Oryza sativa Japonica Group: one gene and its partners. The protein of the gene in region 6 interacts with the protein of the main gene of each other region in a pairwise test. Links are inferred from orthologs where the notes say so. Each region holds a gene or a part of one and is shown on either strand. Other genes may lie near its edges.

Evidence for each region.
Region 1: the proteins of E3 ubiquitin-protein ligase COP1 (region 6) and constitutive photomorphogenesis protein 10 interact in binary tests that used the Arabidopsis thaliana proteins (3 or more experiments, as listed by UniProt). The link is inferred for Oryza sativa Japonica Group from reciprocal best matches to the Arabidopsis thaliana genes COP1 and FUS9.
Region 2: the proteins of E3 ubiquitin-protein ligase COP1 (region 6) and phytochrome A interact in a two-hybrid assay, tested with the Arabidopsis thaliana proteins (2 studies listed by BioGRID). The link is inferred for Oryza sativa Japonica Group from reciprocal best matches to the Arabidopsis thaliana genes COP1 and PHYA.
Region 3: the proteins of E3 ubiquitin-protein ligase COP1 (region 6) and transcription factor RAX2-like interact in binary tests that used the Arabidopsis thaliana proteins (3 or more experiments, as listed by UniProt). The link is inferred for Oryza sativa Japonica Group from reciprocal best matches to the Arabidopsis thaliana genes COP1 and RAX2.
Region 4: the proteins of E3 ubiquitin-protein ligase COP1 (region 6) and cryptochrome-1 interact in binary tests that used the Arabidopsis thaliana proteins (3 or more experiments, as listed by UniProt). The link is inferred for Oryza sativa Japonica Group from reciprocal best matches to the Arabidopsis thaliana genes COP1 and CRY2.
Region 5: the proteins of E3 ubiquitin-protein ligase COP1 (region 6) and transcription factor LAF1 interact in binary tests that used the Arabidopsis thaliana proteins (3 or more experiments, as listed by UniProt). The link is inferred for Oryza sativa Japonica Group from reciprocal best matches to the Arabidopsis thaliana genes COP1 and LAF1.

Annotation. Positions count from the first base shown.
Region 1 is NC_089041.1:23,577,192-23,582,330, forward strand, and holds constitutive photomorphogenesis protein 10, read left to right. Parts: upstream 1-1,669; 5' UTR 1,670-1,790; coding exon 1,791-2,079; intron 2,080-2,289; coding exon 2,290-2,363; intron 2,364-4,136; coding exon 4,137-4,284; intron 4,285-4,439; coding exon 4,440-4,537; 3' UTR 4,538-4,876; downstream 4,877-5,139. Other genes in the region: glucan endo-1,3-beta-glucosidase 4, read left to right, coding at 381-408, 497-626. UniProt on the Arabidopsis thaliana protein: Component of light signal transduction machinery. Involved in repression of photomorphogenesis in darkness by participating in the CDD complex, a complex probably required to regulate the activity of ubiquitin conjugating enzymes (E2s).
Region 2 is NC_089037.1:30,047,830-30,051,603, forward strand, and holds the end of phytochrome A, read right to left. Parts: intron 3,769-3,774; coding exon 2,952-3,768; intron 2,671-2,951; coding exon 2,374-2,670; intron 2,272-2,373; coding exon 2,064-2,271; 3' UTR 2,054-2,063; intron 1,331-2,053; 3' UTR 973-1,330; downstream 1-972. UniProt on the Arabidopsis thaliana protein: Regulatory photoreceptor which exists in two forms that are reversibly interconvertible by light: the Pr form that absorbs maximally in the red region of the spectrum and the Pfr form that absorbs maximally in the far-red region.
Region 3 is NC_089038.1:8,541,160-8,546,402, forward strand, and holds transcription factor RAX2-like, read left to right. Parts: upstream 1-2,166; 5' UTR 2,167-2,186; coding exon 2,187-2,322; intron 2,323-3,087; coding exon 3,088-3,217; intron 3,218-3,623; coding exon 3,624-4,380; 3' UTR 4,381-4,814; downstream 4,815-5,243. UniProt on the Arabidopsis thaliana protein: Transcription activator. Positively regulates axillary meristems (AMs) formation and development, especially during inflorescence.
Region 4 is NC_089036.1:25,400,024-25,405,358, forward strand, and holds the start of cryptochrome-1, read left to right. Parts: upstream 1-1,964; 5' UTR 1,965-2,225; intron 2,226-2,303; 5' UTR 2,304-2,515; coding exon 2,516-2,828; intron 2,829-3,985; coding exon 3,986-4,207; intron 4,208-4,474; coding exon 4,475-5,190; intron 5,191-5,335.
Region 5 is NC_089038.1:27,140,153-27,145,350, forward strand, and holds transcription factor LAF1, read left to right. Parts: upstream 1-1,701; 5' UTR 1,702-1,780; coding exon 1,781-1,916; intron 1,917-2,248; coding exon 2,249-2,378; intron 2,379-3,280; coding exon 3,281-3,836; 3' UTR 3,837-4,136; downstream 4,137-5,198. UniProt on the Arabidopsis thaliana protein: Transcription factor that promotes photomorphogenesis in the light by participating in the transmission of phytochrome A (phyA) signals to downstream responses. Probably acts by activating expression of light-induced genes.
Region 6 is NC_089036.1:33,025,680-33,030,781, forward strand, and holds the start of E3 ubiquitin-protein ligase COP1, read right to left. Parts: upstream 3,311-5,102; 5' UTR 2,966-3,310; coding exon 2,624-2,965; intron 2,010-2,623; coding exon 1,932-2,009; intron 1,459-1,931; coding exon 1,303-1,458; intron 1,188-1,302; coding exon 828-1,187; intron 690-827; coding exon 535-689; intron 432-534; coding exon 366-431; intron 4-365; coding exon 1-3. UniProt on the Arabidopsis thaliana protein: E3 ubiquitin-protein ligase that acts as a repressor of photomorphogenesis and as an activator of etiolation in darkness.

The DNA of each region.
Region 1 (5,139 bases), on a different chromosome or scaffold from region 6:
GTTTGCCTATTCTTAATATGACTTAGATGCCATTGAACGCCAGTAAACACCTTGGAGCTGCAAACAAGGTTATAATTGAACATGTTTGAGTTTGTGTATGTCTGACATGGACCTCTGATTACATAGGAATGGTAAGCGAGAAAATTTGAAGAAACCTTAGACTTTAGATATCTGATCATGCTAATATAAAATGTGTTTACCACTAGTTAAATGCATGATCACATCCTGAAGTTTCATGCATTTTCTTATAGAAGGCATCCTGAAGTTTTTTTAGTGTGTTCAAAGAGATCAAGAATATTTACTGTTAGATTGGACCGGGTGATTACTTATTTTCCCTGTTTGATGAGCCTAATACAATTTCCCTGGATCAAAATATGCAGGCCATGGTTCATGCATTTTTGCAGGAAGGTGAGTCCTTTCTCGATATTTTTGTGCTAACGGTTCTACATTTTTTTTTTGGCTCTACGTCCTGATGCAGTGTTGGTTCTTCTTGCAGCACTGGCTCCAATGGCAGCAACGGTGGTGCGGCGTCTGGGCCCGTAAGCCCAGACAATTTTGCTACACAAATTCACTCGTGCTGGTTGACTCACCTAATTACATTGCTGTCTATCATGGTGTTCATGTAAAACCCTGTAAAAAAATGATGCGTTTTGGATGAGATGCCCGAAATTTATTGTGGATCTTGTCAGTAGGAGTGTAGGAGGCCATATTTGTCTTAGATGTATTGAGGTTAGATGGCATGTGTTTCTCAAAATTCGTTGACCTAGAGAAAGGAGTCAAATACATCAATTTTGAATGCCAGGCTGGGAGTATTGAATTGTGGAAACCTTCTTTTCTGAAATGTTTGTATGACTCAAAAAGTGTTTTGTGCTCCCTGCATATCGCTTCAGTACTGAAACTGTCACTCTTGTTGAGTAACAGTGTTTTTCTCTCAGACTCACTAATATTTTTTTTCTTCTAAATTTATACTCTTGTTGAGTACTACATGTTTGTTAAGTTTTTTTTTTGGTCTCATGTAGCAGATGCAAAAATGTCTGGCCTGGTTTGTACAATGAAGAATTAAGTCCTACATAAAAATTTCTACGTTCTAAAGCAGTCCATATGTTACAGTTACATGGCACCGAAATTTATTTATGGTTTTTCAGGGTTGGATTTATGTGTGGTCAGTTTAAAATTTGAGTACTTGGTCGCTTTTGGCCCATTATTACTGGCAATACTGGAACAGCAAAAATGGATTTATAAGAGTATATGTGGAGCTATCAGGCTGTCACGCAGAATAAAAGCACGTCTCAAATCAGTTTCTCTCAAATTTTAGTTTTCATATTTTGTACTCCCGTCTAAAAAAACCACTGTAGGTGGCGATTTAACTCCACATAAAATTTCTGAACATATGTTGCAAATTCTCCTCTAGTTTGGTTTTTAAGATGGATAGAGTAATTTATATTGAAATGCAATTACTTCCTCCGTTTCACCTCCGTTTCACAATGTGAATGTGAGAAATGCTAGAATGACTTATATTGTGAAACAGACATCAATATGAATATGAGAAATGCTAGAATGACTTATGTTGTGAAATGGAGGGAGTAGTATTTTACACTGAACATCACAACAATTATGAAAAATAAATAAATAAATTCGCACCTCCCCTCATCGTCCCGTCACTCCCTCTAACCTTTCCCCTCTCCGCCGCTCTCCCCCCACTCCGGCGTCGCTCTCCATCCCCCCACCACCGCCGGCGGCGCCGCTCCCCCTCACCCCCAAGGCCAAGTCGTAAGCCAGCCGTCGAGGCCATGTCGTCGTCTTCCTCCTCCTTCCCGACCTCTCGCTCCCCTTTCCCCGCCGGCGCCGGCGCCGGCACCAGCGGGGGCGGAGGAGGAGGAGGAGGGGGCTCCGGCGGCGGAGGTGGGGGTGGAAGATGGAGCGGCGTGCGCCCCTGGGGCTCCAGCGGCGGCACGTCGGTGTCGTCGTCGGGGAAGCGGATTCAGAAGGAGCTGATGGACCTCAACGCCTCCGACTGCTCCGCCGGCCCTAAGGGCGACAACCTCTACCACTGGCTCTCCACCATCATCGGACCTCAGGGTATCATCGCCCTTCCCCCTCTCCGCTTACTCCCCCCTGCTAGCAGCAGCCGATAAAGCTCGTGCGAATTTTACTGCGGCTCTGCGAATTTCACTAGTTGAAATCGCGGTTTTTTTTTTTTCAAGTTTGGAATTAGGGTGTGGAGTGTAGAGTGAACTAGTCTTATGACCACCTTCACTTTGCTGATCTAATGCAGTGCTCATCTTGTAGGATCTCCGTATGAAGGAGGGATATTTTTCCTCGATATTGTATTCCCAATTGACTATCCGTTTAAACCTCCCATGGTAAGAACTAAGAATTAGCTTCTTTTTTTTTTTTCTGTTTGCTTAAATGGGCTGTTGGTTATGAGGTGTCTGGCTTTCTACGAGATCATATAGAAGCTTAAGTTGTAACTTGACATTTTCTCTCCTTGTCTGTGTGCATTCTACCTAATGCTGTGATTCATGAGTGATCATATCGCTGTTATTGGAACAAATATCTAGAATAAATATGGCATTCCCTTCAGTAACTATTGATAGACGACTATTGATTTACCGCGTGGAAGTGTGGTTAAGGTAACATGGGAAATGCTTGCATCCAAAGAAATGTTTTTAAGAGACATGCGCATGTCTAAAATCTTGAAGAAGTGGAATAGAAATTCAAATAGGATGGATAATTGGTTGGGATAATATTGTTGTATAGCTAGTTCTACTTCACTATGTGAACAGGGTATTACAAAAGTGATGAACATTGGTATGTTTAGTAAATGCATAGGGTATTTTGTTTCAAAAGTCTACCTTCACCGGACTTCTTTTAGTTTCTTCAAAATAAGTGTATGATCTATGCATTTTAGCCTGGAAGGGGTTTGAAAATGTGTCGAGTTGTCTGCAAGGATTAAGATTCATCCTAAAATGGAATATCTCATGAATCTTTTTGGGGACAAGGAATGCTTCTGTTCAAGGGCTAACTCAGCAAACAGTGTGATGATTAGAAGGGCATAGATAACAAAAGAGATTATGTTAAAGCTAGTTTATTTTGTTATTAATTAAAGCGACCTGCGTTCTTTTTAAGGTAAGCACCATTTACCTCTTTTCAATATGATCTTGATTATTTATGAAGAAAACTTATCTGAAGTCTGTTTTATGCTTAGTGTTCAAGAAAATAACTGCGCAGAGTTTCTAAAATGTTGTTTTCCTAGACATCCCCTGTTTTGGTTGATAGTGCTGTGTTAAAATTTTACAGAGAAAGGTTTTGTCCATTGGAAGCCTAATGTGCTTGGGCATCACCTTCATCCTATGTCAATATACTATTTGCATAGTAGTCTGGTAAAAAAATGAGCCTTCTAAATGCAGATTTTTGGTCCATTTAGTGTTGACATTGACTAATCAGTATACACCTGCTGGCTGTAGCCTACACAGCCCTACATGATCACCTGCTTCATGGTTTGTTGGTTGCTAAGACAGTAAGACTGTTACTGTCTTTGCCCAGCTATTACCATCAACTTATAATTCCTTGATGGGAGGTAGGATATGAAGGATCCGAACAACCAACCTCCATTTCTGCTCTTCAGTATTTGATGGAGCATCTGGAATTCTCCCCCATTCTCTAGATAGCAGTGCTGGAAGCCTAGGGCAATGCTAGGACTGATTTGACCTAACACACAGCCCTGCAGTGGTCTACCTTTTACCTTAACCAGCACATGGAACCATGCAAACATCAATACAGTCCAACATGGCAATCATATTAATTCTGCTAATGCTACACTCCATATAATTTGGCAATAGTAAGTGAATTTCTCAAGTTTTTGTAGAGTGGATAGCACACTCATAATACAGAGGAAATACACATGGGCTGGCAATTGTGGCTTGATTTGATGTTTCAGTAATTAATAATATGGAAGGTAATACACTCTTCCAGTTGAACATGCTAAAATTTCAATATTGAAGGAACAGCAATTTCAATGTTTATATAGAAGTATGAAACAATTGAGATCCACTGCTGTAATTTTATCCGATATTTCGGTATTAGGGGACCTCAATTCGTGGTTACAAGTTATAACTGTTCTGTCACTGTGCTAGGTAACTTTCAAGACAAGGATTTATCACTGCAATGTTGACTCCACTGGTAACTTGAGTATGGACATTTTAAGGGAAGGATGGAGTCCTGCTTTAACTATTTCAAAGGTGCTACTTGCCATTAAAGCCATCATAACAAACCCAGATCCATGTAAGTTCCAAGTTACAGTATGATCACAATTGTTCTGTTTCTGCACTATCTTCCATGATAAAACATGCAGTCCTGTTTAAACTATGTAATATACACATAATTTTTGCTTCATTTCATCTTGATAACTTCATATTATGATTGTTTTTTCCGTGCAGACTGCCCACTTGTGCCGAGCATTGGACATTTATACTTGACTGATAGAACTAAGCATGATGAAATAGCTGCGGAGTGGACGATGAGGTTTGCAAGATAGGGAGTTCCATCTGCAGCTAAGCAAGATCACTAACTCCGTAAATGAATATATTTGGTGTACCCTGAGATGTACAATGTTGGGAAAAGATCAATACTTTGTTTAGGTTGACTGTGACATAAGATGTACCTGTGCATTTTATATTAGACAATTATTATGTTGTTAGCTTTTAGGTGGCAGAATTGGCTTCAATGGTATTGTACTTATCAAGGTATTTGTTTAGAATCAGTTCGTCCAACCTACGAGTAAGTTTCTGAAATGCTATTTATTGGACCTGGGCAAGTGGGCATTACCTCTTATCTGAGGTGTCAGTGATATATTCAAAATAAAGCTTTAGATTAACATTGCAGTCAAAGTATGTGAAGACGTGTCAGTCAAATCTTTTGCTTGAAACCAAATATTGCTGGTTCTCAGCTCTTAGGTAGTTGGGAATAGCTTAAAATGCACAGAAATTTCTTTATTTCAGAACTTTGTCCCTACTTCCTACAATTCGTTATGCCGCGTGATTAATATATATTGTCATCTTGCAAAATAAATTTTGATGTATTAAAATCTTATTGCAGAACAAATATTCTAGATGGTTGTGGGCTTGTGGCAGAATATTG
Region 2 (3,774 bases), on a different chromosome or scaffold from region 6:
GCCTTTTCCTTTTCACATTTCCCCCTCCTTCCCTCCTGCCCTGCCTCCTCGGCCGGCGCGGCGCCCCATGTACGTGGCTCGACCGACGGCGATCGCCGGCCCTACCCCTACCGCCCGCGGCGCACGTCGCCTTCCGGCTCCGGGATTGTTAATTACCGTTTCGAGTGAGACACTTTTGCCCCGCGTCGCGTCGCGATTCTGCAGGGATTCATCTGTCCTGATCATCTATCCATTCATCTGTTCCCTTACCTAATTTCTCTGCACAGATCCAGCAGTTTGACAGCAAAGAGAAACAGAGGGATCATCGAGGAAAAAAAAAAGGGCTGGGCTACAAGCACATCCAGATCCAGGCTGGAGTAGGAGGCAGCTGAGCGAGTGTTGTTCCAGTGGTGCCTGCCAACGGAGGTGGCTGGCTCATGAACATTCACCCGTACAACCAGACAACCGTACAGCAAGTGCAGAAAAGAGGGACACCAAATTTCAATTTCAGGTACATCTGCTATTCTGCTTTGGGTCCTGTTTGTAAAGTTTAATATTCTGAGAAACAGCTGGAGAGAAGATAGGGAAGCTGAAAAACCCAGTTTCTAGCTTGTTTCTAGCTTTTAATTCATTTTTTGGATTCTGCAGCTACAGTTTCTCTCAAACTAAGTGAAAATTAGAACTGTTTTTTTTGGGAGGGGTGGGGGGAGAGCTTTTGGCAGTAGCTTCTTCTAGAAGAATCTTCAGCTGCCAGAAGCTCCCACAACCAGGCCCTTACTTCCTAGTTGCACTAGGCCTGTAAAGGTCCCATTTGAGTTACAGGCCCCATTTGAGTTCACTGAAGATTAGCGCATAATTAATAAAATTTTAATTATTTTAACTTAAAAGCAATCTCTATATAGATTTTTTTTTGTGCAAAAAACACGACGTTTAGCAGGTTTAGAAAACGTGCTAACGAAAACCAATGTGAAATCCGTACCTTAATCAAGAACAGGCCCTAAGTAAGAAAAGCTTTATTAGATTCTACTTTTCGAACTAGTGAGTAAAGTCAAACCATATTTTATTCATGTAGTAGTAACTTGAATGCTCTCAGCATCAAGATACAGCATATTACAGATTGGTGTTTTCACTTCCAATCTTAATGAGTTCAGGCGAGCAACAGCACGCATTTGCAACTTAGAAGATTACACATACTGACATTAGCATGGTGAAGAAGACGACAGTACATAACCAAATGTGCCATACGACCATTTATCTGTAAAGTCAACCATTTATCTGCAGCCAGTGAATCTTCAGTCTGCAAGTACGTCCAATCCTAAGCACAAGCCACCGTCGTGGCTATACGAACGAACTGCAGAAAACACAACTCTTTAGCAAAAGTATCACACTGGTACTTTGAAAAAGTGGAAGTTGTTCGCAAGAGAAATAAATATATGAAATCAATTGTTTGTAGTTTTATCTCTAAAATGGACAGCAATTTAGATAAATCATATTTGCTAGTCATCTGTACCAAGTGACAAAGTGTACAGATTAAGAGGATGTCATAAGCCAATGTATTTCAGAAATGGTAGAAAAATATGTTTGTAGCTAAAAAAAATCAGAATGGAAGAAGCGAAGCCTACAGGACATGGTGGTTCTATAGGCACTCTTGTAGCCGCTTAAATAGAGCACGAGTCAGGAAAAGACGCAGTTTCAGCAGTGGACTCGGGTTAACTTTAGTCCCTATATTTAGACACTAATTTAGAGTATTAAATATAGACTACTTACAAAACTAATTACATAAATGAAAGCTAATTCACGAGACAAATTTTTTAAGCCTAATTAATCCATAATTAGAGAATGTTTACTGTAGCATCACATAGGCTAATCATGGATTAATTAGGCTCAATAGATTCGTCTCGCGAATTAGTCCAAGATTATGGATGGGTTTTATTAATAGTCTACGTTTAATATTTATAATTAGTGTCCAAACATCCGATGTGATAGGGACTTGAAAGTTTTAGTCCCATCTAAACAGGGTCTCAAGCAAAACAAACTGAGCAGCCTAAACAGTCAATTAAGTAATTTCACATACCATTTCATGATTATTTTGCTGGAGCAGAAGCAAGTTCGACGCTGAGGATGAAGGTTGACATGCCAGCTTCCCTCATATGTCGGACATCGCCATTCATGAGCCTCAGCAGGTTTCTAGAAACCGCAAGACTCATGCCTTCATCCGACTGCTCCTTATTGTCATCCTCGTACATTTGTGACAGCAGATCTGCTGGGACTCCTTTGCCCTGGTGCTTGATCCTGAAAAACATTGATCCACAAGAGTTAATACACATCATTTTATACTTCAAGACTGTCTTAACAGAAAGAAGAGTAAGCGTGCAAATGTCATGACTAACATACCTAAGTTCTAGGTCTATGAGATGAAGGTTTTCCCCAATGCTGTTCTTGGTCAGGCTACAAGAGATCTCAACAGAACCCCCAACAGGAGAGAACTTCACTGAGACGAATAGGAAGTCAGAGAGAATCTGCTGTAGTCGAACACCATCCCCGTAGACTGTTTGCTTCATATATCTCTCCGGTAGGTTGCAAGAGACTCTAATCCCTTTTCCCTGGCAAGTTATGAGTACTTGACTTACAGCAGCCACAAACACATCTTGCAATACAAACTCAACCATCTCCAAATCCAAGCAACTAGACCTGTGAACACAGCAGCAGGAAATTAGTTTGAAGATAATAACTAATAATATATATATAAGGTTTGTACTGAGTAATGAGTAAAAAACCACTGGGACTTGGTGCAACAAATTCTTTCATTTTGAGAGAGCAAAATTGACCACTTGAAGATAATACAAACACATAAGACTATAAGAGCAACACCATCGACCTGTTAGGTCTGACAATTGATGAAGAACAAAGGTAGCTGAAAGTAAATACAAGAGCCTAAGAGAGTAACTTAGAATACTTGGTAAGAAAAGTACTTGTTCATGACGCTATCTTGATCCAAGTCAGAAAGTATTTTATTCAGCTGGCGGTGACAACTATCTGCAACATTGACCTCCTTCATCTGCTCTTCATTCAGACCTGTGTTCTTCAGTGCTTTCCTAGAGTAAAGCATACCTGAGAGAGGGTTGTTGATTGCATGTCTCATGTAGGAGTAAGCTTTCAACTTTGTTAGTGCATTCTGCTGTGAGGCTTGCTGCACATGTAGTGCATGTTGCAGCTCATGACTAGGAACTTGAATGAAACAAAATACTCCAGTGATGACACCATCTGCATTTACTTTTCTGTTAACAGAAAGAAGGCACTCGATATACTTCCCGTTCCGGTCGAAGAAGCTGAATGGAGCCTTTTCTGTTTCATCACCAGCTAATGCACTGTTGATAAGAATGCAGAGACTTACAAATGCATCTTTATTCTTCACAAGACAGGAGGCGTTGGTGCTATCAAACACCTCACCAAGAAGCATCTTATTGATCACCTCATCTCTATGCCACCCGGTCAATTTCGTCATGGCAGCATTCCACTCAGAGCACCATCCAAATTCGTCAGCACCAAATATGGGAGGAATAAGCGGGCTTGGATTGTGAATAATTGCTTTGTAGTCTCCCTCAACCCGAGTAAATTTGTCCATGACCAACTTATGAACAGTCATATCTTGTGCAACAAAGCACACACCAACAACATGGTCGTGAAGGTCCCGGCTGGCACAGGCATTCACAACCAAGATAACAGGGCCATCATCTCTCTTGGAGCCATGAGTTTTCACCTCAAATTTCACTTCCTTCTCTTCTTTGCCTGATC
Region 3 (5,243 bases), on a different chromosome or scaffold from region 6:
AAGATAATGCACAACCCCAACCTCGAATACAACAACTCTAGCGCTGCTAGGTTGTACTAACATCTCTCCCAATAGTCGATCTATTGACAAGACAAGACAATCCTGATGAAAGTAGAGCATATATTTATAACATGTTTCAGTAGCTATAGCCTAGCTAGCCCAGGAAGAAAGGAACGGTGTACTGTACATTTTGGAATTAAAGAAATGGTCAAGCTTTACACACCACATAGGCTCACACCAATGCTTGCATTGGCACATGCATTCATCTGCACACACTGAGATTGGGTCTCTGAAATATGCAGCAAATCTGCTGCATTCAGCAGCTGCATCGATCTAGCACCTGCTCCAGTGGCTGCCTGCTTGCTCGTCTTGCTCATCGTGCTAGCTACTAGCTGCTTGCTGCTGCTTGCCTGCCCTCATATTTGGCCAGTTCCAGTCTGTAGCTTTCCTAGTACAAAGATGCATGTTATTTTTACACACGACAAATACACGAACCTGGCGAGCTATCGCTTTCAGTCCTCCACCTACATGTTGTTGAGCTAGAACTTGTCAATCTGTCATACGCGTGACCAAGGGTTAAATATTTGAGAAATCAAAAAATAAACATTTGGGGCACCTAAATTCCGAAATCGATCTCCTGATGAATAGCTTGAAATTCTGAATAATTTTGCTAAAAACTTAGTACAAATTCTCTGCCGAATAGCCACCTGTAAACTGGAAATTGTTAGACGGAAATACTGAATCGAGAGGCAGAGAAATTAAGCCATTAATTTGTCTAGGTTCTCTTATTAAAAGAACATTTGTCTAGTGATCAGAAGTTGCTTCGGTTATGTATGTATTCGGCCCTCCATGGAAGAAAAAAATACACAAGAGAGGCAGTGATTTCAAAGGTTGGCACCTACCCTGCGTCCCTGGCCAATAATAGGATAGCCAGGTCTTATTGTTGATCAAAGGACTCCGGCCGGCTAGCTATAGACTTTCAGCGTAGTAAAACTCTCTTTTTGCAGTAATTTAATTGGCAATTTGCCATGGGACAACTCATTCAAGGTGCAACAGTACGTTAGGGTCCACGTATAATTGATTGGTTTTATTCTTAATTAATGTGAACATATTTTAATTGCTTGCTATATATGTATAATTTAACTTAGCAATGGACTTATATTCTTTTTTGGCAACGAAATGACTATGCAAATTATTAACGCTCTCAAAATTCATAAAATCGCATATATGGTTGAATGGATGAACAAAAGCTAGCTTTAATTAAAACACAATTTGGAAATAGTTATTCCTAAATTTTTAGACAATGTACAAGTGTTTATATTTCTGGCCATAAAACAAAAAAGAAAATATTCTAAAACTCTCTAGAGAATAGAGAAAAGGCTAACGGATCTAGGTCATGTTAAATAGAATTCTGATTTATTTTATTCTCGTTTCTCATAATTGTCATTACTATATATGGAATCATAGATAACTATACAATTGAAAATAATAATTTGAAAGAGAAATTAATCATTCACCTAACTTTTGTCTCCTCGGAACAAAAATGGCATCTTCCATCAGAAAGGCTTAACCATTTTCCAATGTACTTAGTGATTTACTTTATCCGTGACTCTCTACTACCTGCAAACATGCACGCAAGATTCCATGTGCAAGTGTACTTTGTCTATAGGGAACAGTGATCATGACTCTGGTAGTAACGCTATCAAGTCTCCATGGAAAAAGCTCTGAACAACCTTTTCTTCCCTCTGTGCTTAGATTTGAAGGGGCCAACCAGCAGCCTGGAAGGGTGATTAATTGAAGCCAAACAAACACAAGCCTACACACTTTGACTTGTTAACATCTTCACTATAGTCTCTCTCTCTCTCTCTTCCATCTCTCTCACTGGTCTTATATATTTTTCTGTTTGCTGTTTGTTGGCTTGTGCTGCTCTCTTCTCTGTGCCTGGCTTTCTGTGTCCCAATATATCTCCTGAAAGGCAGTGTTTCTCTGTCTCTCTCTATGTCCTCTAGCTAGATAGTAGATAGCACAGAGGAGAGAGCTCTAGCTTAGCTGCTGCTGCCCCGGCAGCTAGCTACAAATTAAGAAAAGGGTTAGGAGCAGTGGGATTTGGTAGTTTGGTGCGTGTGTCTTGTTGCTTTTAGCAGCTTGGAGTTGAGGCAAAAATCCAATTCTGCTCAATTGGACTCATGGGGAGGGCTCCATGCTGTGACAAGAACAACGTCAAGAAGGGACCTTGGTCGCCTGAGGAGGATGCCAAGCTCAAGGAGTTCATAGAGAAGCATGGCACCGGCGGCAATTGGATTGCTCTCCCTCAGAAAGCAGGTATATATGTCAACTTAATTTCAGAGATCTTGTGCTAGCCCTTTGGCGATTTTGTATTTTTTTCCCCCTTATGAGTTCATGTCTAAATAAGGCTCGATCACCTTAATTTGCAGCTGGTTTCTTTTCTTCTTTGTAGAACTAATTGATTTGTTTTCTTCGTCTGTTTTGAGAGTTTAATCAGTTGTATTCTATGGATATAACTCCTCTCTCTCTCTCTCTCTCTCTCTCTCTCTCTGTGTCCCCTTCTGTAGATGAATATATATGTTCAAGTCTGAAAGATCTTATTTACTGCTAATTAAGTATAAGGTTTTTCCAATTTTTTACATCGATCATTTTTCTCTTCGCGGATACTTTGTTAAGACGATAATTTGTTCTATAGTTTATTTAGCACTAATAGTCGTACATCCCTTAATTTGTTAACTGGTCAAGAGTGTAATAGATCTCTGACATAGACACAAACAATGTTATGTCAGGCTTGCCGGCTGCCGCATGCAATTATAGGTCTTGATGTGACTACCCCGCTTGTTAGAAAAACGCAATGCAGATCAAGATCCTAGAACTCGTTTGTTTGAAAAAAAGATCCTATAATCCTAGTTGAATCTTCCTTATAGGAGCTTTTTCATACATTTAATTTTATGCTAGCACTGAGCAATATTTGGCTGTTTATAAGTTATACATCATTAATTCTCATCCCCCTATAGTTTTTACGCAATATTTGAGCTATTTGGTCCTGAATTTCTGACCTTATTTATTCTATAATTATAGGATTGAGGAGATGTGGCAAAAGTTGTAGGCTTAGATGGCTAAATTACCTGAGGCCCAATATTAAGCATGGAGAGTTCACAGAGCATGAAGACAGGATCATCTGCAACATGTTTGCCAGTATTGGGAGCAGGTATATACATATATCACAATGCATATATAGAGTTTTCTAGATTAAGATGTACATTTAACCTTCCTTTTATTTCGATCTACTTAATTTCATCCCAAACATGCATAAGTATGACCTGTTTCTTCTCCCTAGCTAGAAGAATCCTTAGAAGTTATAATTATTTACTAGTAATATGTAGGTAGGAGTATGTCTAATCATCAGCAAATGAAGAGATACCTAACTATATATATGCTCTGATACAATTTCAAGTACACATTTGAGAAACTTTGGCATCTGTAGTAGCTAGATAGCTACCTACCCCAAGTCTTGTCTTGTAGAACAGTACAAAGATGACATGAGAAAACCTAACAAACAAGGAAAAAAGAAGAATGCATGCAAATCACTCATTTCTACTTGTCATCCATTTTAGGTGGTCTATAATCGCGTCGCAGCTCCCCGGCAGAACGGACAACGACATCAAAAACTACTGGAACACCAAGCTCAAGAAGAAGCTCCTCGGCTCGAGCGCCGTCGCCGCCGCCGCGCCGCCACGGATACAGCGTCATCAGCAGAGCCACCACCGGTCGTCTCTCCTCCTGCCGAACTCGCCGTCGCTCAATCCCGGCGGCGGCTACCCAGGCTTCTTCTCCGGCGCCGGCGGCTTCCATCCTCAGGAACCAGCTATGCCGTTAACCCTACCGACCACCACCCAGGAATTCATGCTGGGCACTCACTCTGGCCTTCCAATGGTGAGCGCCTCTGCGCTGCTCAACCATCTGCACGGCGCATCACATCATCATCAGCTGCTTGTGAAGGAGGAGATCAGCAGCAACATGATCGTGTTCGGCTCCGACCAGCAGAGCTGCAGCTCGTCAGATGGGCTGGCGGCGCCACACAGCCACAACCACCATGGCAACAGGGAGTTCATCCTTGATGGCTACAGCTATGGCGTCGGCTACGGCAGCAGCTGCATCGATCAGGTCGACAACGACAAGCTGTTCCAGCATCATCATCAGCAGGATCAGGCACAAGAACAGCAGCAGCAGCTGGTGTACAACTACGACGAGATCAAGCAGCTGCTGATGAACACATCAACCACAAGTAATAGTATTAATGCTGGTCAGGATCATGGCGGCAGCATGGAAGCAGGGTTGATCGGCTCACAAGGGAAGGTAACCATGATGTAAATTAAACTGATCGATTAAAGAGGAGGGGAAGGCAGCAGCTGGGCACGGCAAGATTAAGGATGGATTAATTAAACCAAGGTGTGTTGTTTTTTTTACTGTTCTTTGATTGGATTCTACCGTACGTACGTGATGCATGGCGCGTTTAATTGTTGTGGTTAAAAAAAAAAAACAAAGGAAAGAAGTGTGTCCCGTGTCACGGTCGCATGCACGTGCCAGTGCAGCTGCTAGTATAGCGTTTGCGTTCGTGTTACAGCCTGCAGTGTGTTGTATGTCACTGTGACATGGGATCGATCGATGGATATCATGATAGAGATAATCTCTCTCTCTCTCTCTCTCTTGCTGTTGTATTTTCTCTCTCTCTCTTCAGTATAGTGTACTCTCTCAACTACTGTGGAAACTTGATTACTGTGTGGCACAGGCCAGCAGATTCAGTACTTTTGCTCCACTGTGTTGTGGACACATTTCCTTCTTCCTGCAGTGCATGCTTCGATGTAATGTCTGTGCTACTACTACACGTCTTTTCTCTCTCTTCCTTGAACTCTGGGCATAGGTTTGTTGCTGCTGTGGCACAGTGCATGTGAAGCCGTGCAAGTTGTGTGCGTAAATAAAAAATTGCTGGCGTCGCAGCATATCGATCAGTGCATGCATGGAAGCATGCATGATTGGCGTCGAGATGGCACATGGGGGGACGACGAGAAGAAACGAGTCTTTGCAGTCGTCCTTTGCCGCGAGAAACGTGTCTTGTCGCGAAGAACACGGTTGCAATGCAGTCGGAGTAATTTTTTTCTTTTCTCTGGTTTTTTTTTGTTTTTTTTAACGATGTGTTAGTGCTGGCAGATCAGGCAGAGTTGGCGCATGAAATG
Region 4 (5,335 bases), about 7.6 Mb from region 6:
AAATGGTTTCAACGAATGACGAAGCAATAGGTAGAGGGAGATTATAAATGTGGGAGTTGAGATCAATTATTCGAAAGAGAGTCAAGGGAAGGTAGAGAGAGGGAGAGATGAAATTGAGAGGTTAAGCTCGAATTCGAGAGTCGGTTTGAAGGAAACAAGGGAGAATTTAGGTCTCGGAGGTGAATCATTGGACTGGGTTAGGGTTCGGGCATTCGACAAAGATTAGGGATAGGGTTCCAGGAGGGATTTCCGAATAGAAGGAATCGAGCTTCGGGATTATATTGGATGGAAAATTTTAAGGAGACGATCTTTGATAACAGGGTATTGAGACAGGGGAGGGATTTTAATTGAGATCTTTGGCACAACTTAGACTCAGCACTCAAAGAATCAAAATTTTCGCAATTAGGGTTTTCGGTGCATTAGCTTTTAACGCCACGCGGAAATCGGGGCGTTACAGGCGGCCTTCGCTGTCTCGCGCAGGCCCCCACCGCCGACGGGAGAGGCAGACGAAGGCGACGAAGCCCCGCCGCCGCCGTCCTTGCGGCCGCGCGGCTTTGCCGGCGGCCGGTCGGGCGGCGGCGAGGCGGCAGAGGGAGGAAGGGGGGAGCGGCGACGCCGGCTGTTTTTGCCTCCCGTGTCGCCTGTGAGGGAGGGCGACGCGGGGGCGAGGGGAAGAAAATCGCGTTACTGCAGTTATGTTGTACGGTAACTTTTTGGCTAAGGATGAAAAGCAAGGAAGGAAAGCTTTTCGGTCCAAAACCAAGAAAAATTTTCATTAATATTTTTAATTATGATGTATAACAATCTTAATGTTTTGATTTATTGCTCGGTATTTCTATCACTGAAAAATCGTTTTTACCCGTTCGGGTATTTTTTTTTTCAGGCTGTGTGAGTCGTCACGAAGTGTCCGGGCGGCCTAACCATGTTCCCTACCTGGTTGTAGCTGTCAAGGAGATCAAGAGATTGTGGGTAGAACTAAACCAGCACTTTCTTCCTATGTACATAGAGACTATAGAGGGTATCATCGGAGTTACCTGAGCGGGCCATTTTTTTTTTTCTCGTGAAGGAGAAAGAAAGCATGCGGGTGGGTGAGAGAGACCGGAAGCATCATTGCTACAGTTGAAGATGAGATTTGAGATGAGATAAGGCCGCCGTCGAAGCTCTCAATGGAAAGATCTAGGCCCTCCCGATGGGCCCAGACGATCGAGGAGACGACGGCGACGGGGACGGGAGATGAAAAGGCGACCGGCCCCGGTTCACTGAACGCATCCTTTCGGGATAAAACCCCAACTTTGGTTACAGCCTGGGTCGCGTAATTGCGCGCGCTTCGCGTGCGGCCGTGCAGTGCATGGGCAGCGGCATGGCCTACTCCTATCCAGCATCTCCACTGATCATTGCTGCTCATGGCCTCACCGATCGTTCGATCTCCGGCCGTGGCCAGTCACCAGTCGTCAGTCCGACGCAGTGTTCCATGGGAGCCACGTATGGGGGGTCCCGAAGCGAGTGCAACAGTGACTGGGATTTGGCTGTTAAAGTTGGCGCCTTCGACCACCAGCCCACCCCGATGTGTAATCACTGTGCCAGAGTAGCGTAGACGAGGAAAATCTGCTTTGATGCAGCTCGCAACTGGGGCAACTGGCTTGGGAAGTGAACTGAAATCCACTGCATCGGGACGGCGCTGGCGGCGGTGGTGAGCTTGTGGCCTAGTTGTAGTACGGGGTAGTAGGAGTAGTAGTTTAAAGGAGTATATCACGTCGCTGGTCCCCGACTCCCCCGTGGTCGCAGCGAAATCGCACCGGTCGATCGGTGGAAGCTCCGGCCGGTGGAGCTGAGCTAGCGATGAAAAGTCGCTAAAAACTAAATCGACCGTATCATTTCGCAAATCCCGATTGGTCCCCGTGGCGCAGCGTGGCGTGAGATCTTGTTATACTAGTATTTAATTGGGATTTGGGGGGGGGGGGGGTGCGTATGCGTGCGTGTGCGCTGCTTCTTCTCTCAAGTGGTGGAGGGGAAGAGGAGCACAAGGAGAGGCAGACGGCGATAAGTCGCTCGCTCGCCAATTCGCCATGATCGGGTGGGGCTCCGCTACCGTACACGCCCCGGAGGAAGCCCAGGCCCCGCCCATGCTGCTGAGCTCGTGATCCTGCGCTCCTGGCCACAGGCTGCGATTCGGCGTTGGTGCGCCCACCCTCGATCTTGGCCGCTTGCGCGCTTCCACGATCTGAGTATCCTGTCGCGTACTGGGGTCTTAATTAATTTACTAGTGACCGTGCTCATCTTCTTCTTCTTCCTCCTCCTTGCAGGGGTTTCTGGTCCGAGGCGGCCATCAAGATCCGTGCTTCTTGTCCTTTGGCCCGGGCGGAGTGGTTTCTTTCTTGCACGGGACGTGCTCGACGGAATGCCTGTGAGGGGAATTCGCTCGCTGTGAGTTGGGAGGGGTGGTAGCTGTGCTTGCCTGCTTGGTCTGGTCATGGTGGATTGAGTGCTTGGGGGTGGTGGGATTTGGTCCCTGGGCATGGCCGGTTCGGAGAGGACCGTGGTTTGGTTCAGGAGGGACCTCAGGATCGACGACAACCCGGCGTTGGCCTCCGCGGCGAGGGACGGCGCTGTGCTCCCTGTCTTCATATGGTGCCCTGCGGATGAAGGGCAGTTCTATCCCGGCCGGTGCTCCAGGTGGTGGCTCAAGCAGTCGCTCCCCCACCTCAGCCAGTCACTGGAGTCGCTCGGGTGCCCGCTCGTGCTGATCCGAGCCGAGAGTACCCTTGAGGCTCTTCTGCGGTGCATTGATTCTGTCGGCGCCACCAGATTGGTTTATAATCATCTGTATGGTATGGCTACTTTCTCATGGCGTTTCCTGCATCAATGGAGTTTCTTATATGTTGTGTTATTCTATTTCTTTGTGAAAATATTTTTTTTTCTTTACACTTTGGATGCGAAGAAATCTGACCATGACGACTTTGAAAGTCTTAGCCAGCTACATCATGTACTTTTATGTTGTCAAAAGGCTCAACTTAATAAGTTATGTAACATTTGATCAAAAGCTATTCCGAGTGAAGCCTTGTAAACAACATCATAGATCTTTTTTTTTTAAGAAAATGGATTAAAATCATAGATCATGCCAGTTGCTTACATGCTGTTCTAAATGTAAATACAGTAGAAAGTTCTCTCAATTTATCCATGGTTATGTATCATAAGTCAGTTCATTTAGTTGGTATTGACATGATATGTGCTACAAACATCACTAATACACATTTTCCCCACAAATATAAAAAATATTCAAATTCATATATAGGAAGAAGGAAACTATCTCTAAACAATTAAAATTGCATTATATGTAGTAATCTGGCAGTAGTTTTTCCTATCAAAAATTCATAACAATAGCTTTCGAAAAGAATAAGGCAAAAAGCATATGCGCATGAAAATAGAAACTAGGCCAAGTATGATTAACATAAATACTTCCTCCGTTTCATATTATAAGACTTTCTAGCATTGCCCACATTCATATATATGTTAATAAATCTAGATATATATGTGTGCCTAGATTCATTAATATCTATATGAATGTGGGCAATGTTAGAAAATCTTATAACCTGAAACGGAGGTAGTACTACATAATAAAGTGCCAAATAAATCTTTAGGGGCTAACTTGAACCAACTATAGCTTATGGTCTTATTTGTCATAGTTCCACTCTTCAAATATCAAATACCAAATACTATAAACTGTCACATCAGAGGGGAAAATCAAACTCAAAGGTTTGACATTGCAAAATGAGACGGCCTTTTCCATTTGAGCTAGTACAATATTGATATGAAATAAACAACTTTGGGTTTTCTAGTTCAGACTTCAGAAACGTGTACCTCTAAAGTTGGTACGGAGTACAGCTGTGTTCTCTATTGTTCCATTCCACTAGCAGTTTTGTTTTAAAATTACTCTTTTCAGATATGCTGGTTTAATCTTATTTGTTCTCACTCTTCTAAATTTTAGACCCTGTTTCTCTTGTGCGTGATGACAAAATAAAAAAAGAGCTTTCGGCACTGGGAATTTCCATCCAGAGTTTTAATGGTGATCTGCTGTATGAGCCATGGGAAATTTATGATGATAGTGGACTTGCATTTACAACCTTTAACATGTACTGGGAGAAGTGCATGGAATTACCTATTGACGCATCACCGTCACTTGCACCTTGGAAATTGGTGCCTGTCCCAGGTAGATCGTGGCTAGTGGCCTACCATTATTTATCTTTTTTATTTTTGAAGATTTTCTATGTTTTTAATTTGTCTGTACTTACAGAATTATCTCTAGATTAAGTTGTTTACCTTTTTTCGAGAAGTTATTTACTTGCAAGCATTACTCGTTTTATATTTACAGATTTAGTAATTGATGCCCTTCAACCTTTACACTCAATGAGTCAATGTCTAGTTTGTCAAGATACAGCTACTTTAATGCTTAACAATTTTTCAGTTTGACATTCAGGTTTGGAGAGTGTTCGTAGCTGTTCTGTTGATGACCTAGGACTTGAATCAAGCAAGGATGAGGAATCAAGTAATGCTTTGCTAATGAGGGCCTGGTCTCCTGGTTGGCGCAATGCAGAAAAGATGCTTGAAGAATTTGTCTCCCATGGTCTCCTAGAATACTCAAAACATGGAATGAAGGTTGAGGGAGCTACTACATCATTGCTATCACCATATCTTCATTTTGGTGAGGTGAGTGTAAGAAAAGTATATCAACTTGTAAGGATGCAACAAATCAAGTGGGAAAATGAGGGAACATCTGAAGCTGAGGAGAGCATTCACTTCTTCATGCGGTCAATTGGTCTTCGAGAATATTCACGGTACTTGTGTTTTAACTTCCCATTCACACATGAAAAGTCATTGCTGGGGAACTTGAAACACTACCCTTGGAAAGTAGATGAGGAGCGGTTCAAGTCCTGGAGGCAGGGAATGACAGGATACCCATTGGTAGATGCTGGCATGAGGGAACTTTGGGCTACCGGATGGACACATAATCGGATAAGAGTTATCATTTCAAGTTTTGCTGTGAAATTTCTACTTATCCCATGGACTTGGGGTATGAAGTATTTTTGGGATGTGCTATTGGATGCTGATCTGGAAAGTGATATTCTTGGTTGGCAGTACATATCTGGGAGCCTGCCTGATGGCCATGAGCTCAGTCGTCTTGATAATCCAGAGGTATGCAGTCACTAAAGCACAAAATCCTTTTTTTTTTTTTTTTTTTGCTATCAGGTAAGCTTGATTAAGGCATGCTTGGTCTTTACCACATTTTCGATGGCCCTTGTGCAAAAATGTCGCTTGACACAGTATTTATGGTAATCAA
Region 5 (5,198 bases), on a different chromosome or scaffold from region 6:
TTGCAGGGTAGGCGTGTACTTCTAATTTTTTTAATATGATAAAGGAAGTAAACAATGCGCCATATTTTGAAAAAGAGAGTACTATCATTATGATAAAGGACTGCCTTTACAAATTCAGTAAATAAAATACTCATGTATTATTCATTTCAACTCAACACACTAGACCGACACAAGTGGAGGGAAAGTCATACTACCCCTATTTATTTTTAGAGTAAATTCATAAAACTGCCATTATTTGATCAATTATATCGCTTTACTACATCTTTAACTAGATATTTCATATAATTGCAACAACTGCAACAACGAACGGTTTTATTATAAAACCATAATTTTATCCCATAGTGTGTATGACATGTGATCCCGATTTGCAACAATACAAGTATCTCATAACACAATATGCATTACTCCTATGTGTATAACAAGTGAGTCTAATATCTTGTTAGAGCTATAAAATTGCAGCTTTCAATAAAATCTTATGCTATTATTGTAGTTCATTGAAATGCTTTGCTGAAGTTGCAACATATTGATAGTCTGGAAGATTTCTGAAATTTACTTTTATTTTTAACATTGCGTTTAACATATACGGATATACTTTATTTGATGTTTAATTAGGATATCGATAGAGCCCTCAATATATAAGTTTGATTTTTATCTTTTATTGCAATACATTGATAAAAAATTATAAATTATTACTACATGAAAATATTTTTAATGACAAATCAACTGTTGTCTTCGCATATTAAAATTTAGTGGCCATGATCAGCACTTGTGCTCCAGCCAGACAACTCTGATTCGACACTGCTGCGGCGTAATTGTAGTCAGCACTACCGATCAGCCCCTATTATAACACATATTCACATATATTGATGATCTAAGTCCTTTTAAGGTTTTTCGTTTCAGCAGCAGTACAGCAAGCACCTCATCCATCGACTTCAGTCTTCAGGGATGCCAGAACGTAAGCACACCATTCCATCTTTTGGGCGTGAATGTGCACAAAACGATGGCACCGAACAGCAAAGGGCACAACATGTGTCAATATGCAGCGGCGACTGGTGACACGAACGTGTGCCTTGAACAGCGGTGGCAGCACGCCAAGGCGCCAATGCGTAGCAACAGCAGCCCGAGTGATGAGTGACTACGTGAGCACGCATGCGGACCGCCGGTGGCGTGGACACCTGTGGTGGCAGTGGCAGGCACACTAGTGGCGAACAAATTAAAATGCCTTTCGATTTCCCGTCTGGTTTCCGCCGCATAAACAGACATTATCACGGGGTTTACTCTTGTCTCTTGCAAGTGCCAAACCTTGTAATTTTATTTCGCTAAAAATTGCATCTGCTTTCAGACTACTGCAGCCTCTGAGAATTACAGAAAGCGAAGGTATGTACTCCGTCCGATGTAATGATACTAGTGCCATGTACATATATGGTTTTGGTCGGACAGATAAAAAAAACCATTTATTTTTTCCTCGGAACTAAAAGAAGGAAAAACAATCGGCGACCTAACCACTTGCTTATTCCCGTGAGGGGCCACAGGGCCAACGGTGATGATTGGGCGAGGCCTATAAAGCCCCTGCGCCCATCTCTCACGCCAACGCAGACCGACACAACAGTGCAGGCCGCAAAGCAATCACGGCCGTCCAAGCAAGCCGCCTCCTCCTCCTCCTTACCAAGCCAAAGTCTTCTTCTGCTTTCTTTTCCCCTCGTGCTGCTCGCGGTTTGGCATTGTCTCTCTAGAGTCTAGACTCTAGAGTCTCCTCTTGCTCTCTTCTCGTCCGCCATTGATGGGGTGCAAGGCGTGCCAGAAGCCCAAGGTGCACTACCGGAAGGGCCTGTGGTCGCCGGAGGAGGACCAGAAGCTCCGCGACTTCATCCTCCGCTACGGCCACGGCTGCTGGAGCGCCGTCCCCGTGAAGGCCGGTAAGACCACGGTTCCGAGCTCCGCCTGCGACGATTTCGCCGGGGAATTCACCGCGAATTTTGCAACTGCTGTACGCCTGAATGCATTGCACCTGTGTCCTGCTTCAAAACCCCCCTGTTTGCTTGTTGCTGCTCTCGTTTTTTTCTTTTTTTTTTCAAATGCACCTTGATTTAAGGGAAGGGGAGAAGGGATTTTTTTTGTTTCCTACTATTTGCAAAGTGTTGTTCAGCTTCAGGACGATAGATGAAGCCTGTTTGAGCTTTTGTGTTTTTTCGTCAAATGTACCTTGTCTGGTGAGCTGAATTCTCTTCTGAATTTGCCTTTCATGCAGGGCTGCAGCGTAACGGCAAGAGTTGCAGGCTGAGATGGATCAATTACCTGAGGCCGGGGCTGAAGCACGGCATGTTTTCCCGAGAGGAAGAAGAAACCGTCATGAACCTGCACGCTACAATGGGCAACAAGTAAGTGTCACACTTTTCACCTTACCTTTAGAGCCAGGAGATTGCTGTCAAGTAACGCTAATTAATTTAGCAAAGTAATTACTCCAACAGAGAGTAATTTTGGACATCCTACCTTCTGCCTTTTTACTCTTTTTTTTTCTTTTACTACTACTGCACTTTGCTAGTGTCAGCTCGGCAAATTCAGTTTCAGAGTGGAAAAGGGCCTGGTTAAGTAAGAACAAAAGGAAATGCTGATTTTGGCCATCTAGACCGCTTTTGAGTGGTGTAGTTGATGCTGACATCTACGTTCCATATTGAGGCAATCAATTGCTTCTTTTTTCCGGTGCACATTTGATGATTGTGAACAACCATCTTCCTCTGATTAATTTATTTGCTGAAAGGCGTGCTTAGTCACGGTTAACCTTTTCTTAGCATAAAAGAAATGGGGGAAAAATCAGTGTCTGATTCCTCTCTCCCCCTCTTGAGAAAAATACTAACGCATTTTCTGGAGGTGATGTGGTTGCTTACTGGTGCAAATGCAAGTTGCCAGCTATTTTTGCACTCTTCTTTAGTCCTGGTTCCATCGTCAGAAATCTTAACACCGTCCTTAGACACCAACAGTCTGTACAATCTCATTTATGAACATGGACGTACGGCAACTGCTGTACTACAATCAGACTAATCACAGTTCACTGAGAATTATGGAAACCTCTGCTTTGACGAAACCTAGAAAAGATCAACGTGTGGTACTACTATGACAATAAAAGATCCTTTATTAGACTGACTGTGCAATAGTAATTCGAAAAAAAAAAGATTAAGAAGGCGATTATAAGTTATACTAGATAAGAAATACTTTTATCTAACTTTTTTTGTTTGAAACTAGGACTTTTATCTAACATGGTGATGGAAATTTGTGGTTGCAGGTGGTCACAGATAGCGCGGCATCTGCCTGGCCGGACGGACAACGAGGTGAAGAACTACTGGAACTCGTACCTCAAGAAGCGAGTCGAAGGCGCGGAGGCTGCGGCCAGAAAATCCGCCGAGCCGGCCGACGTCGTCACCGGCAGCCCGAACCGCAGCGAGACCGGCCAAGAACGCGTCGCCGCTGACCGGCCGGCGAGCTCCGAGTCTTCCGGGCCGGTCGAGTCGTCGTCGGCCGACGACTCGAGCAGCCTCACCGAGCCCGCGGCGGGGCTCGCCGCCGTCCGGCCGCACGCGCCCGTGATCCCCAAGGTCATGTTCGCCGACTGGTTCGACATGGACTACGGGACTAGCCTCGCCGGGACGGCGCCGGGCCTGAGCTACCAGGGCTCGTCGTCGGTGCAGGTCGACGTCCCGTGCGGCGGCGCCGTGGACTCCCTGCACGGGCTGGGCGACGGCGGCTTCTGCTGGGACTTCGACGACGCGGCCGATCACATGCAGGGAGGAGGAGGGCTCTGCGACCTGCTCTCCATGAGCGAGTTCCTCGGCATCAACTAGGCGGGAGCGTACGCTCTTTCTTCCGTACAGTTCGTCGCCGAAGTGTAAATTCGTCAGTTTCTTTTTTTTCCCCCTCTTTTTCAGAGGTGTAAATCGTGCCGTGCATGTGTAGTAGTTAAACTTACTGGCTTGTAGTGTTGAGTTTGGACTTCGAAGCCATGAGTTGTGCGTCGAAGTACAGTCTTAGCTTTCTCTTCATAAGGTTCGTGACTTCGTGTATACAGCTCTGGTTTTCCGGAAAACGGTTCAGAAAGAATAACAGAAACAGAGCGTCACAATTGCACGGTTTTCAGGCTTTCAGTATTCTGTTCTTGTCTGAGGAACACCGCATCCGCATGCTAGCTAATATGTCCATGCAAATGCAGGTCGCTCTCAATTACTCCCGAGCCAATGAGACATACTCCCTCGGTCCAAAAAAAAAGACAAACCCTGGTTTCCGTGCCCAACGTTTGATCGTCCGTCTTATTTGAAAAAATTATAAAAAAATTAAAAAGACAAGTCACACATAAAATATTAATCATGTTTTATCATCTAACAACAATGAAAATACGAATTATAAAAAAATTTCATATAAGACGGACAGTTAAAGTTGGACACAGAAACTCAGGGTTTGCCTTGTTTTTTTGGGACGGAGGGAATAGTCCACAAAAAGATCTACTCAATCACCACTGCAGTTCTACGATTGTGGAGTCCGGATTGATTTGTGTTTTCGTTCTGTTATGCTTCTCTGAAAATCTGATCCCCTGTGAGGCTGTGACCCTGTGGTAGGTTGAGACTTGAGAGATCACTTCTTCCATATTATCGAAGAGAAAGACATGTCCAAGGAGAAAGTGCTATTGGGATACTGTGTTTTTGCACCATAAGTTCATTCTTACCCCAGAAATAGTACCAGAATTACCGGCTAACCGATCGGTCACCGTGTTTCACTTCATACGTAGATAAATGTAGTCCAAATAGCTCATTTGGATTGAAGGAAATTTGAATGATTCCAATTCAAATGAAATTTTTGGCATATTATCTCCTTTTGAACAGAACAATATATATTTTTGTAAATAGACTTCAACGATAGTGGGTTGGTGGAAATTAATCTGCAACCTCACCTACTTCCGCTATATTTTTTTTATAACAGACAAATTGATTACCCGGCTTTTTGAGAAAGCCAAAACATACAAAATCTGCTTACAGGAAATAAAGACCTTCCGCTATAGTTTTTACAAATTATTTCTTAAACTTTTAAATATTATAAAAAAACTAAATCTAAATAGATAGCCACATATAATTAAATTACGGTGCGTATTTCCTATGGAAAAAATGTAGATAACATATTCCATGGAAAATATGCTCTTGTTTATTTGAGGCAAT
Region 6 (5,102 bases):
ATACTGCATTTAAGAAATATCAATGTGATTCCCTATTCTCATGTAAGGTAGGCGACTGAAAAACATATGAGATTACAGATAGACATGGAAATGAAAATTATGCACCAAAAAAACAGGCACAAACTTATAGTCATATTTTGTTCCTTATAATACATGATAAACATCAGCATTCAAGATTAGTGGATTTGTTTGCTAATTGAACATAGTTGAAGTTTGACTCATAGGAGCAATAGACCATCCCCCCTCCAACCAAAACCTCTCCTCAGCTCACTGCTGGCTTGAGGATTCAGCTATGACAACATCCACATTGCCAATAGCATGTTGATGCACATGAAATAAGGCACATATTTTGTAAAAGCACTAACCTTGATACGATATTTGCAGAGTGAAACAGATCTCCATGTCTTAGCTCCGCAATTACACGCAAGCGACTGAAGCATAAATGACAGAGAACAAAAGAATGATAAGCCAAATGAATAGGCATAACCACTACCATGATCATAATGTGCTAAAAAGGACAAATAATCAGCGGACCTATATCGTGTGAATGTTGTTAGCACAGACTGGAAATCCTCAAGTCCTGCATGATAACCTTCTTTATTTATTGTTACTATGTCTCTTTCCTCCAGCCTACGTGATTGTGCTCCGGTACGCCGTCTTTGAAGATAGTATTCTTGAAGCTCGTTAAACTGCAATATGCCCCATAGCACATTAGCATTTCATCTTACATCAAAACAAAATAAACATATAAGTTCCTAATCTAAGCTGTCTACATGCTTGCAATATGATAGTACCAAACTATCAAGCGCGCAATGGGAGAAACAAACCTGAGCTTGAACTCGCCTCTTCCGAGCAATAACGTTGCCTGATTGAATAGGGGCACTAGGAGGATCCGAGCAAGTGAGAACATCTCTCCTTTGAAATCCTTGATGACTAATTTGACCTTTCAAGTCAAGCTTCTTATTCTGTAAACCCCCTGGATTTGATGTACTAAGTGGTCCCCGAGAGTTGGGAGGAAAGAGACCACTAGGTTTATCCATAGGTGAGGGCCACATCTTTGATGCAGCAGGTTCATCCAAAAGCATGCGGAGCTTCATTGAGTACCTTTCTTTTGTTCGATATAATTCTAACCTATGTCTCTCCACAGCACTTATATCTTCTTTGATGTACTGTAGGTCAGTTTGAATCTGTGTAAAAAAGAGGTTAACATGATTAACAACAATAGACATCAGTAAAAGATTATTTATTGTTGTAGGTAGCAAGAAAAAAAACCTGCATACTGAAAAATACATATAGACAAACCTCATTCAGCTCTTCCAACTTTTGCTTTCTGAGGCAATGCAAGAAGACCAGCAATATTTGCATATTTGTTTCTGACTCTTGCTGTTCCATATGCCGCTTCTTCTCCGCGATCAAAGTCATAAGACTATCTAGTTCTTTAACCGCCATATCGTTTCCCTAGAAAAAGAAAGAAGAATTAAACTAAAACATATGATAGTGTTTGGTCATCATTCATCTATTACTTATTTAGAGAACGTCAGTTTTATGTTTGAATTTTGAAACAGATATAAAGTCAGCAAGGTAGTGCAAATCTATCTTCTGTGGTATACTTGGTTTATCATATGGACAATCCTTGTAACAGTTAAGAGGACGATAGAGATCATGTGGCTGTAAGAGCGAAGGAACAAAAGATACTTTGATATCGGTCACAGTAGCTTAGATTCTACAATTGATGCAAGAGATAAGCATGTTCAGTGTAGAACTTAATTACTACTCTGTACTACTTAGTTCTGAACTGAAGATCACAAGCACAGCTAAGGTACGGAAGCAAAATTTTCACAGTACATAAAACCATTTAGGAACATACCACTATGTTTAAGGAGCTATTGAAAGTAGACATTTTCAAAAGTAAAACATGTGAAGTGACTGACCTGTTGCAGTGCATATCGAAATTGGTCTATCGGTGATGCTGTCTTCGCAATTTGGCGAGCTGACATTTTCTTCAAGACCTATGCAGACATAAATGTGATAAACATGCTTAGAGATACATTTATACAATCCCAGTATCAAGTAACCAGTAATTACAGCTTGTTTTAAGTTTTAACAGAACTAGAGAAGAACTCTAGTGATGAACAAATTATATAATAGGTACTGATAACCAGAGCAGACATAGAACTAATACTGTCCACTGCTGGTGATTCTAAACAAAACTTACATTAACAACAAACTGTAATGTACCGTGCAAGTCAAATAAAACTGAGCTATCCAATCAGAACACCTGCTACTACTTCAGAAGCTACCACAAACAGTAGTACAATAAATCGCAGCTCAAGCGCTGAATACTGTTGAATAGTTGCTACAAACGAATCGAAAGGCATACTGTTGAATAGTTGCTACATTTGTTAAAATTGGTTATACCGGATACCTATCCCAAGCCACATCCAAAGGTACATTCAGTGACATTTCAATTTTTTTTTTTTGCGGGGCAGTGACATTTCAATTACAAAGCCCTGCGTTTGAAATTAGGATAGGCATCCAAAATTCCCAATCGATCGGCGGAATATGGAAGCCACGGCCAATCCATTATCCATCTCGGCTGTGTAAGCAGAACGAGCAAGCAAACCTTGTCGAGGAGGAAGTTGGGGTAGAGCTGCGCCTTGGTGAGGTAGTTGCCGCAGCAGGGGCAGTCGCTCTTGTGGCTGAGATGCGTGACGATGCACATGTAGCAGAAGCTGTGGCCGCAGGCGGTGAGGAAGGCGTCCTTGATGACCGCCATGCAGATCGGGCAGAGGAGGTCCCTGTCGGCCGCGGCCTCCCCGTTGCCCCCCGCGGAGGCGCGCGCCCCCGCATCCTCCTCCCCCTCCCCCGCCACCGCCAACGCCGCCGTGGACGCGTCCCCCGACGGCGCCTGCTCCTGCTTCGGCACCGATGGCACCAGCGCGCCGGCCACCGTCGAGTCACCCATGCGGCAGGAGGAGGCCGCCCTGCGGTGGTGAGTCGAGCAGGCGGCGGCGGTGGAGGCGGCGACTGGGCGTGAATAATTGCATACGAGGGGTGGGTGGTGGTGGTGGTGGTGTGGTGTGTGTGGGAGGGAGGGGCGGGTGGAGGAGGAGGGAGGGGAATTGGGTTCTGTGTGTGGGCGTGGAAGCGGAAGGGTGTATGGGTGGGAGGAGACCACGTCGGGGTCGGGGTAGCCTCGCGCGCCGCGGCGCTGCGGGCAAATGTGCGTACGCGAGGAGGCACGCACACGACGACGGCAAACTCCGTCTCCGTTCCTCTCGAAGGAAAAAACGAAGTTTGCCGGTCTCCCAATGGAACGCGTGCTTTCGATTTGCGCATTTAATCCGAGTAGTTTGGTTTGCTTAATCCGTGCGAGGAATTTGGCAGGTCGGGACGGACGCGTCGCGAAGCGACCGGGGGAGTGGTTAGAGTCCCAATTGTCCTCATAAATGAAAACCAAAAATTAAAATTTCAAACTTGAGAATTTTAGGTCGCTAAAACATCTCTGTAAATTACTACTACCTTCATATTTTAATATATGACGCTGTTGACTTTTTATCTAACGTTTGATCATTCGTCTTATTCACAAAGTTTATGTAATTATCGTTTATTTTATTGTGACTTGATCCATCATCAAATGTTTTTTAAGCATGACATAAATATTTTCACATTATCACAAAAAATTTGAATAAAACGAATAGTCAAATATTGATAAAAAAAGTCAACGGCACCATACATTAAAATACAATACGGAGGGAGTACTTTAATTTAGGTAACCGATGAGTAACCTTAGTTTCAGACGTGCTGGGTCCGGTTGTTATGTGGGTTACAAAACAGCGCTGCATTGAACAAGTGGGTGTGGTGAAATGGATGTTCTGTTAGAAAATTCTTGTAAGAGAAGATCATGCGTGTTTCTGGGATCATTCTCCGTGTAAAAAATGCATCATCTCCATGGCCAAATTGGCCACTGGATGCTATCACTGACCCGGTGCGTGAGCCCGTGGCCACCACACGAATTCTGTACGGCTGTACCGTATTACAGGCAAGGGTTTATATTTCCAATCGAGGTCCCGCTCCTGACCCTGTCAGTATAACGGTTTTCACGAAAACCGTCAAATTTCAAACAAAATTAAGAAGCCAAATTCTCAAGTTCCATTTGCCCGTCAATGAAAAATGATCAAAATCACCGAATTCCAACCGGAACTACCAGGATTTCAGTTGATTCGAACAGGAAACCACCGTTCCAGTGTTTTGGAAACCAAACAAAAGCATCTAAAACTCATTGGATTTGCTGAAAAGCCAAAGAGTAGCGTGGGAATTAATTGTGTTTTCTGAATATTTGGATAATAGGGGAAAATGTTTGAAATATGAGAAAATTCATGGAGATGATAGGAACATTGCAAACTAAAAGGATATCAAAATGGGGAAACCGTGGAAACGTGGGAAAATGTAAGAAATTAATAAAGAAATTCAGCATGACCTTTCCTACAATTTGACAACCTCACATTGAGAATAAGCGCAATGTATATTCATGAACACAAATACAAGATAATTTGAAGTCCATATCATTGACAATTAAATATGCATAACCAAATATATGTTACGCCATTAACATCAACACGCATAATATAAAGTACATCAACACAATACAAAGTACACCCACAATCAATACATACTGTAAAGTGCATAAACAACATAGTATAACAACAATACAAAGTCCATAATATAAAGTGCATACACAATCAACACATATTGTAAACCCTTCTAGATGTCTTTTTTCAATTTACCAATTCAGTTGTTGTCCAAAGAGCATTTTCATTCTACGCCTATATTTTTTGACATTTCATATGCATGTATTTACTACAAATGTAGGACTATTTACAAGTTATTTTTAAAATATTCTTCATAAATTTTCAATTCAAATTTGAAAAATTCTGAAACGATTCAAAAATTCCAACAGAATTTGCTTTCGCGCTGCGTTGAAACGTCAGAGTTGTGAAGTGTGAACCCTAATCTATCTGATCAAAGCCTTCTTTTTTTTTGGATTGATTTCATCCAGGAGAGATGTCAGCTAGACAGAGACGATCACTGATCACGCGACA